Linked DNA regions of Mus musculus. The protein of the gene in region 2 binds, or shares a complex with, the protein of the main gene of each other region. Links are inferred from orthologs where the notes say so. Each region holds a gene or a part of one and is shown on either strand. Other genes may lie near its edges.

Region 1 (4,837 bases), on a different chromosome or scaffold from region 2:
CACCCGCCCAGCAATTCCCCAGCACACAGACTCACTGTCCAGCCAGGCCCACCCTTTCCTCCCAAAGCCTCTAGCCCTGAGTAAGAACTGAAGTCTCGTCGTTCTGTGGAAACAGTTTCCCCAAGAGCAAGCACTCCCTTCTGCAGGAACACGACCCACATGCACACTGAAATCAGCTCATCCCAGGAAAACACCATCTCTTACACCTTGGGTCAGCACCTGATGCCCACGGCCCCTTTCCTTTCCCGTCCTCAGCAAACTCCTATTCATCCTTCAGAACCTGTCACTGTCACTGTCCCTGAAAGCCCTCCATCAGACTAGCAAAAAAAGAGACCCACAAAAAAAGACATGGACTGGCCCCAGGGCAGGTCCAGCCAGGAGAGATGGCATAGCCAGGGGAGTTCCTCCATCAAAAGAGAAAAGAAAAAAAAAAAGACAAGGAGAAACCAGAATAGCCTTGGTGGACGGCACCTGCACAAAGAGGGCAGTTTCCAGAGGACAGTGGCCTGCTAAATATGATGTAGAGCCCTGGCCCACTGGCCAGATGCAGCAAGCCCTGACACACTTTCAAAAGCTCATGCTCAGCCAAGAACAGGATGTGGGGATAAAAGCAGCCAAAGAGAGATGTTGGCCACATGGTGGAGAGCCCAGGAACCACATGTGTGAGGAATGCCTTAAAGCTTAGCCAATCAAGGAGGCACATGCCAGCCAGTTGTGGCAGCACCGGGGAGGCTGAGGCAGAGCTGCAAGCCCACCGCCAGCCTGGGCCATACAGGGAGACCCTGTCACAAAAGTCTGTAATCTCAAAAAGGAAAAGAAAAAGTATTTTTAAAAATGACCTGGGCTCTTGTTTCACAAGACAAGAGCGTACACAGTAGCAGGACGCACTGGCCACCCTTCAAACCGGCCCAAGACCCAAGGATGCAACACTCCAGGATCTGGGACTGAAGGCTGGAGCCACAAAGACAAAACAAGAAAGGACTCTACTAAGCCAGGAGTTGCGATGCGGCGCGTGAGATAACTAGGCCGGTGTTTTGCTTTGAGTTCCAGGTTAGCCAAGCCTCACCGGGTGCACAGGGACAGCCAGGGCAACATGGGAAGTCAGAGCCCAGCCTGGACTGCAGAGCGAGCTGGAGGCCAGCCTGAGCTGCGGAGCAAGTTGGAGGGCAGCCTGGACTGCAGAGTGAGTGTGAAGCCAACATGGGTTACATAGTGAGTTCAAGGCTAGCCTGGACTACGCCGAGTTCGAGACCAGCATGCCACCTCTCTCAGAAAGCAAAGCACACCAGAAGCCAGCCTCCTGCCAGGGCGCACCCCGCGCACACCTGAGGCGTCCCAGCAGAAGCTCGTCCCCAGCGTTCTGCACCGACCCTGAGGTGGGGACCCCCTTCCGCCCAAGGTCACAGAACAGAAGCCGGGGTGCCGGGCTGCATGCACCTCGGGGGCCGCGCTGGACGCCCCGGGGATGGAGCGCGGGAACTCGCCCCATTCTGCAAAAGGGGAAACTGAGGCTGGCAGGAACAGCGGCGGCGGCGGTTGGGGCCCCGGGGCGCAGGGCGGGCTAAGCCCCGCCAGAAGTCTGCGGTGGCAATGAGCGAGTGGACCGCAAGGTCAAGGGCACGGTCAGGAGTTGGGGGGCCGGGCCGATCGGCCGTGGCGCTCACCTGGGCCGCGAGTAGCAGCAAAGCTGCGGCCAGCCGCGCCGCGGCCATGTCCGCCGGTCCCCCCGCAGCTCTAGGCGGAAGGTTTCCTGGCAACGCCTTCGGGACGCCGCAACGTGCTTGCGCCGAGGCTGCGCGTGCGCAAAGGCCTCCGCGTTAGAAAAGGGCGGGGCGGCGCCTGCGCAGAGCGACGTGAGGCGACAAGATGGCGGTGAGCATGTCTAGATCGTGGAAAGCAGGGCCGCGGGATCGAGGGTCTGTGGAAGCGAGAGCAGAAAGACTGAAAGGAGAGTGACGGACGCCCTAGAGTAGGGAGACAGGGTGCTGAAGGATGGGAGCCACGTGGGACTGCAGACGGAAGCCATGGGTACAGACCAGGTGACATGAAAAACAGACGACCGACATGAGGATGCAGACGCGGAACGTGGGGGTTGCAGACCAGGCAGACAGGGGTGCGTACAGGAAACAGTGCAGATGGGGTATCCAGGGATGCAGATGAGGACGTGGGCATGCAGACAGAAATGCAGACTCGGGCATAGCATTCAATTAGGCAGACACTGGAGGTGAGGATGCACCCAGGGTTCTGGGAGCCTGAGTTGGAAAGGAGTCCCTGGGTGCCATGCCCAGGCTACAGGGATATGGGGAGGCTGGACCTCTCTCCTCAGCGCCCCACCTCCCAGCAGGACAAAGAGAAAAAGAAGAAAGAAAGCATCTTGGACCTCTCCAAGTACATCGATAAGACCATTCGGGTGAAGTTCCAGGGTGGCCGGGAAGGTGAGTGCCTACCGCAGGGCTCCCTGACACAGAGCTTGGCTGAGGTCACAGCAAGCAAGGGAAGCCACCTAGTACAGGCGTTCCAATAATGGCTTGGGCTATTGTGTACCATTGAAAGGTATGCCCCTATTGTGGGTGGGGAAACAGAGCCCCAGGAAAGGAGTCAAGTGAGATTAGCACCCAGACCAGTATGGATGGATCCTGAAGGAAGGGGCCAGGACCCACGAGGAGGTGGAAGGAGGTGATAGGAAGCCCTGTTCTTAAGCACCTGGACACAGCAGGAACCTGGAAGGTTTCCCAATGAAAGGATTGAAAGTTCCAGGCCAGTTTAAGTTATGTAGCAAGATCTGTCTCCAAGAATCAACCATGGGTGGGGCTGTATGTCTGTGGGTAGATTGCTGGTTTAGCATGCATAAAGCCCTGAGTTCTATTCCCAACCCCGTGTAAACCTGGCGTGGTTGTATAAGCCTGGCATTCCAACACTAGGGGTAAGACAGGAGGATCAGGCTGCCTAGTGAGTCTGAGACCAGCTTGGGCACATGAGACCCTGGGGGGGGGGGGGGAGACTGTTTCAGATTGCATGGATGGGTGACAATAAAGTTTTATGGACACTATATAGCACCTTCCATACTGGAAAGAAGAGGGTTGGAGTCACAGTGACTAGGCCACCACACTTACTTACTCATGAGTTCTGTGGTGGCAACTGTTCCTGAGCTGCCATACCAGGTTCTATATGTGTTACGGGGTGGACTGACATTCTTCTCCATGTCTCGCCCGTGTTCCTCAAGCCAGCGGTATCCTGAAGGGCTTTGACCCACTGCTCAACCTGGTGCTGGATGGGACCATGGAGTACATGAGAGGTGAGCCGGCCGAGGTTGTTGTAGGACGGTGCTGGGGACCTGTGGGGTCAGATTACAGCAGGTGGTGACTTAGGGTGCAGTGTTGGAACACCAGAGGACTGGTGTGCTTGCCGGGAGGGCCTCAGGCTTGAGACTTCCAGCTCACTCTCCTCAGGTAGCTGGCTTTATCCTCAGCCCTCAGGACAGCAGGAATGGTGGCCGCTGTCCTCGGCCAGGAATGTCTACCTGCATCAGAGACTCCAAGGCTCACTGGATCTCAGCTCTGTATAAGCAGGTCCACCCTGTAGTGCCCTGAGCAGACCCCTGCCCCCCACACCAGGTTTCCTGTCTCCAGCCCTCGTGACAGTTATGTCTGACTGCTTACCAGCTCCTCCTGTTGCCCACCCTCTCCAGTGCATCTGCTGCTCAGTAGATGCCCTTGGTGTTTACGGGGTCAGCATGGGCTCTAGCGTTCTTGAAGTTGGAGATGTCTGGCTCCTCCCTCAGCCACCTTCGTGGTTCTGTGGTTTAGACTCTGCTGGTCAGGTGTTTTGAGAGCATCTGGATCTGTCAGTCCCCAGAAGCTGTGAGTGAGAACTCTCAGGCCCCTGAGGTCCCGGCTGTGGCATGCCTATGGATAGATATGCACCTCAGTCCTCTTGCCTCTCATCCTACCAGACCCTGATGACCAGTACAAGCTGACGGAGGACACTCGGCAGCTGGGGCTTGTCGTATGTCGTGGCACCTCGGTGGTGCTCATCTGCCCACAGGACGGCATGGAGGCCATCCCCAACCCCTTCGTGCAGCAGCAGGACACTTAGCAGCAAAGGAGAGCGGTCCAGCCCCAGGGATCTTCCTTCTATGGGGTGAACTTCTGTGTGATGTTTTGGTCTTTTGTTCTTGTTTTGTTTTGTTTTGTTTTTTAATAAAATTGCCCATGTGAGCATCTCCCTCCCTTCCTGCTCTGTAACTTTGATCTTTGGAGAAGCCAGAGCCATGGAGACACCTTGATCAGACACCGTGGTCCAGGGCAGAGCACAGCACAGCCAGGGACTAGCACAGGGATGGGAGAAACCTGGACGCCTGGTCCCGCAGCCCAGCCGGCTTCACCTGGTGGGCTGTGGCAAGAAGACCACACCTAGAAACACCAGAACCTGGTCTTCCTCCATATGGCATCCCCTTAGCACTGGCCCCTGCCTGTTCTCTCTGCCCAGGGGAACCAGGAGGGCCTGAGAAAAGGATTGGCTAGCAGGGAGCCTGGGCCCTGAGGTTCCTCAGGCTGGGGTGCCTCCCTAAAGCGTCTGCCACAAGAGAAGCAGCCCAGGCAGGGGCTGGGGCGGGGCCAGGGCGGGACTCTGTGCTCCTGTGGAACAGCTGGGAATTAGGAAAAGACCTGTGTCCCTTGTAGTCTGGCCGTGCAACCTCTGGCACATGGAGCACGGGACCCCACGGCCACAACCCTCTGACAATCAGCCCATTTTTAAGTTGGGGAACCTAGCAGGGAGCATGATTCCCTGAAGTTGTGACCCAAGGCCAGAGTCAGGCTCCCTGCTCCTCAGTAGA
Region 2 (4,023 bases):
GACAGGGATCTGTTTAGATTGAAGGAGGGTAAGGAAAGCCCTAGCGTCCATGCAACCAAAGCACCCACACACAGTCCACAGACAGCACAAGCCCGCTCAGCGGGAGTCACGTGACCTGAAGGCCAAGAATACAACCCTTTCCCCAAGGCCACTTGCTAAAGCAAAAAGCAGGAGAAACTTTCGCAGCCGAAGCTCAGTGCCTGGAAACTGAGTCTAAGCACTCTGGGCTTGCACCACCTCAGCCACAGCCAGTTTCTCAGGAACAGTAGAGCTCCTCCCCTGGCTGGCGTAACCAGCCATTGCACCAACACTCTCAACAGGGAGCAAGTTAACATGAAGAGTCTAACTGCACAGGAGGCTTCCAGGCAGTGTCTCACCTCACGTGGCTGACCTTTCCAATTCCTGACTCTACAGTTGCACTCCTTTGTGGAGATACCACCACTAACTAGGTGACTAAATAAACAGCTGATTTTCTGACCTCTTGTCCCTTTATAGCCCAAGGCTGAAACCATATGACTTTCTATCTACCTGCTTTAAATGGTACGGATGGTGAGTAGAGAAAGAGACAAAGGATGCCTCCAGAATGCTTGATCACAGGTTCCGGGATGTACCACTTAGTCAGCTGAATACGTAATCAACCAATGGAATGACAGGGCAGGAATCTTAGGTAAAATAATCCTGGAGAAACAAACTGTTTTAGTTTTAGCATTCTGTACAGGCAGAAATGATAAAGACTGAGACATAAATGTGAAAAACTTAAGAGTCGATCTGTAATGCAATACCTCTATCTTATTCCAATGTCAATTAAACAAACAAACAAACAAACCCCCACCAGCCACCATGAAAACAGGCCAACTAAGATGGTAAGAGAACCAAAACCACTTCATCTATCCATCTCTGAAGAGCACTGCCTCCTGGTGTCTTCACATCCGCCTCTTCTGTGTACTTATGTACAGCACTGGAAAGACAAGAGAACGAGCAGTCACTCGAGGGGCACAGCATCGGTTCAGTTTTAAAGGCATTCATGGGTCCTGGCCTACACCTCGAACACTTTAAAAGACTGTTTCTACCATGCAATGAAGGTCTCTATAAAACAAGCTTTGCGTCTAGACCGGGCTTGGACATCTTACCTGATTATAACTAGTCTTATCTATGCATGTTACTGACTTTACAAATTATGACTGGGAATTAGAAAAGTGAAAGTGCCTAAAATGTAAGAATGATTTGTAAATAGCTATATCACAAGTTTTGAAAAGGGCGAATCAGCCAGATCTGTTAGGTTAGGTGTCACATTCAGAATGACTAGCACATGTGTCTGGAGAGACGACGCCCATCACTTAAGAGCAGATGTAACTTGCAGATGTTACGGAGCAACAGGGCTGGGTCCCCAATTCCTACAAAGCAGTTCACAACCAACTGTAAATCTAGTTCCAGGGAGTCCAGTGACCTTGTGTGGCCTCCTCAACTACCAGGCACGCATATGATGTACTTACAGACATGCAGACAAACACTCATACACATGAAAAAAATGTAAAAGAAAGAAATGGCATTATTTTCGTTTATCTCCCCAGTTTACTCTGTAAATTGGTTTACTCTGATAATTTCCATAGGAGGAAAAAAATGAGAAAACATTTTTAAGAAAGCAAAGTCCTTATTCTGAGATTAGTATAAACCTTTGGTGTCATCCAACATGTATTTTCGCCAGTCATTCTTAGCACAGTGGAATGTGTGCTGCACAGAGATAGGACAAAAGGGGCTCTGGTCAGGCTGTCACCTAAGGTGTACCCTCCCTCTCCCATCCCACACATCTTCAGATACGAACAAGCTTGTTCAAAGTGAACAGTAGATGTTTCCTCAAAGAGTCCAGCACAGACTTCAATCAAGTGAACTAGGATCCTCTTTAAGACCCAACTACAAGTAGTAGGAATAATGACACCTGTTACTGAGGATGGCAGTAAAGTGTAGGAGCCATCAGAATAGGAGGAAAGCCACTGCCTGGGAAACCAGACAGGCTAGGTGGATGTCAGTGTAGGAATGGCTCCTGCTATGGGGGCTACTTAAGAGCATAATATTTCCAAGCAAAAGGAGGAGGGCAAGTAAGAATAACATGAAATAGAAGAAATTCTACTGAACTGCAAGCAAGGTATGTCTACAAAAGTCAGGATATTTAATTCCTAACGAGACCTAACTTTTAAGGCTTTTAAGAAGAGAACTTGAGAGCCACGCCTTCTGTCCTACTTCTGACACACGGAAAGGTACAAAGCTCCACAAAAGGCACCTAAATCTTGAACAGAAAAAGGACAAAGGACAGGCTAAATGTCAAGGGCGTTTTGTGGCACAGGATGGCTTCCACTCCCAGACAGCACTGCGAGAGTACAGTATGTGGTTGTGTGCCGCACACCCTCTGGGTCCCTGGTCTAATGGGCCTGCTTAGTATACCAATACCCCTCAGCAACTGAGAAAGAGAATTTCTAGTTCCAACCTCCATGGAAAATCCTCTTCCCACTCACAAACAGACCTGGTTTATACTAAAGACCTAAAATATAAGTACAACAAACAAGCAAAAGTAAAGAGAACCTTAACACTTAGACGCCCCGCAGCTCCCTATTACACGCAGGAACGGCCTATTCTGAACACTCAATGGAAGGGAAGCTCTTACCATTGTTTCCTCGGATGAACGCATCTCCGTACTTATTCTTCAGCTGTCCATTTACATACTCCTCTGTCTGTTCCAGGGCTATATTCATGTAGCCATCCAGGCAGGCCAGGACCCCTGGAGAAAAGTAAGACAGAATTCAAAATTACAGGCTATATCTTAGAACTGACAATCACTTTATTCATTAGCCTTCAGACACATAATATAAAAATTCACACTGTAAACAAAACTCAATAGACTTAAACACAAAAGGCGCCTGCCTTTCCTCGGTGCCCCTGTGAATGAAGGCTGGGCGGGCAGAGCATGAGAGGAGCTGTGCATCCACCACAAGACAGGCAGCCAACTGTCACTCCCTCCTGGGACGTGTGCTCACCACAGCAACTTTGAAAGCCTTCACAAAAGTATAAGCATTAGAATATTCCAACCAAAATGCCCTTCTATGGGAGCCCGGGACAGACATGGCAACTATGCAGGGACAAATGAGCCTCCATCGAGGTGACATTTGTTACTTCAGCCACTCGCTCGCTCGGTGAAATAGGGATCTGGCAGTTTGTCTCAGTCTTTCACAACATCTACTGCAGCAGATGAATGGACCCAGGGTGAAGAGGAAGTCTCCACAATCTGTTAAGATAATAGACAGCAGGTGCTCCTGAGAGACCATCTCAGAGCTGTGGCTCTCAGCGAGGAGCAGCTTGGGAACAGAGAGCAACATATTGCATTACAACACACTGCATTCTGTTTTGTCAGAGTTGGACTATTTTTAAAATCAAAACTAATAGAGAAAAACGGCTACAAACATGCCAGGGAGCTTTCAAGGAAAACAGCTCGGGTGGATTTTTACTCGTGTTAAGATGGCATAAATTTCTAAAATCTGACCAGAAGATTTTTTTCAAAAGATGAAGCTAGTAAGCTTCTAATTCTCATCTCTAAGCAAAACTGATATTTTAAAAGAGAATAAAAACACACCACAGATTCAATTCAATTAACTAAGTCAATAGTCCCATTTAAGATCTTAACTTCATTAATATGCTCCTGGCTCTCTGCTCTGCCCCCATTATCCTCTAGACAGAGGTTTCTTTTCAAATCTCTGTGTGTGTAATCTGAGCACAAGACATTAACCGAACAGAATTCTATGAGAAGGGATAAACTTTCAAAGAATCAGACTGGACTGTCAACTATCAAGAACAATAACTTCCTAGCCAAAGAAAGCTTAAGACAGTCTCCCAGTTTGCTTCTTCTCTGCTATGCTACACTGAAAGCATATTCAGAGACGAGTAGGAAACTTGCACTGCATGATATGGAATTAGACAACAGGGTCATTCAAAATGTAACATCACTATTATTCACTGTTTGTGAGTTGAGACTGG

The links.
Region 1: Lsm6 (region 2) and Lsm7 share a complex: the UniProt entries of both Homo sapiens proteins name them as parts of the precatalytic spliceosome. The link is inferred for Mus musculus from reciprocal best matches to the Homo sapiens genes LSM6 and LSM7.

The regions. Positions count from the first base shown.
Region 1 is NC_000076.6:80,852,216-80,857,052, reverse strand, and holds Lsm7 (U6 snRNA-associated Sm-like protein LSm7), read left to right. Parts: upstream 1-1,843; 5' UTR 1,844-1,866; coding exon 1,867-1,872; intron 1,873-1,896; exon of another isoform or gene 1,897-1,992; coding exon of another isoform or gene 1,993-2,028; intron 2,029-2,341; coding exon of another isoform or gene 2,342-2,344; coding exon 2,345-2,435; intron 2,436-3,223; coding exon 3,224-3,295; intron 3,296-3,952; coding exon 3,953-4,095; 3' UTR 4,096-4,228; downstream 4,229-4,837. Other genes in the region: Sppl2b (signal peptide peptidase-like 2B), read right to left, coding at 1,665-1,712. UniProt on the Homo sapiens protein: Plays a role in pre-mRNA splicing as component of the U4/U6-U5 tri-snRNP complex that is involved in spliceosome assembly, and as component of the precatalytic spliceosome (spliceosome B complex).
Region 2 is NC_000074.6:78,807,288-78,811,310, forward strand, and holds part of Lsm6 (U6 snRNA-associated Sm-like protein LSm6), read right to left. Parts: intron 2,774-4,023; coding exon 2,660-2,773; intron 959-2,659; coding exon 924-958; 3' UTR 1-923. UniProt on the Homo sapiens protein: Plays a role in pre-mRNA splicing as component of the U4/U6-U5 tri-snRNP complex that is involved in spliceosome assembly, and as component of the precatalytic spliceosome (spliceosome B complex).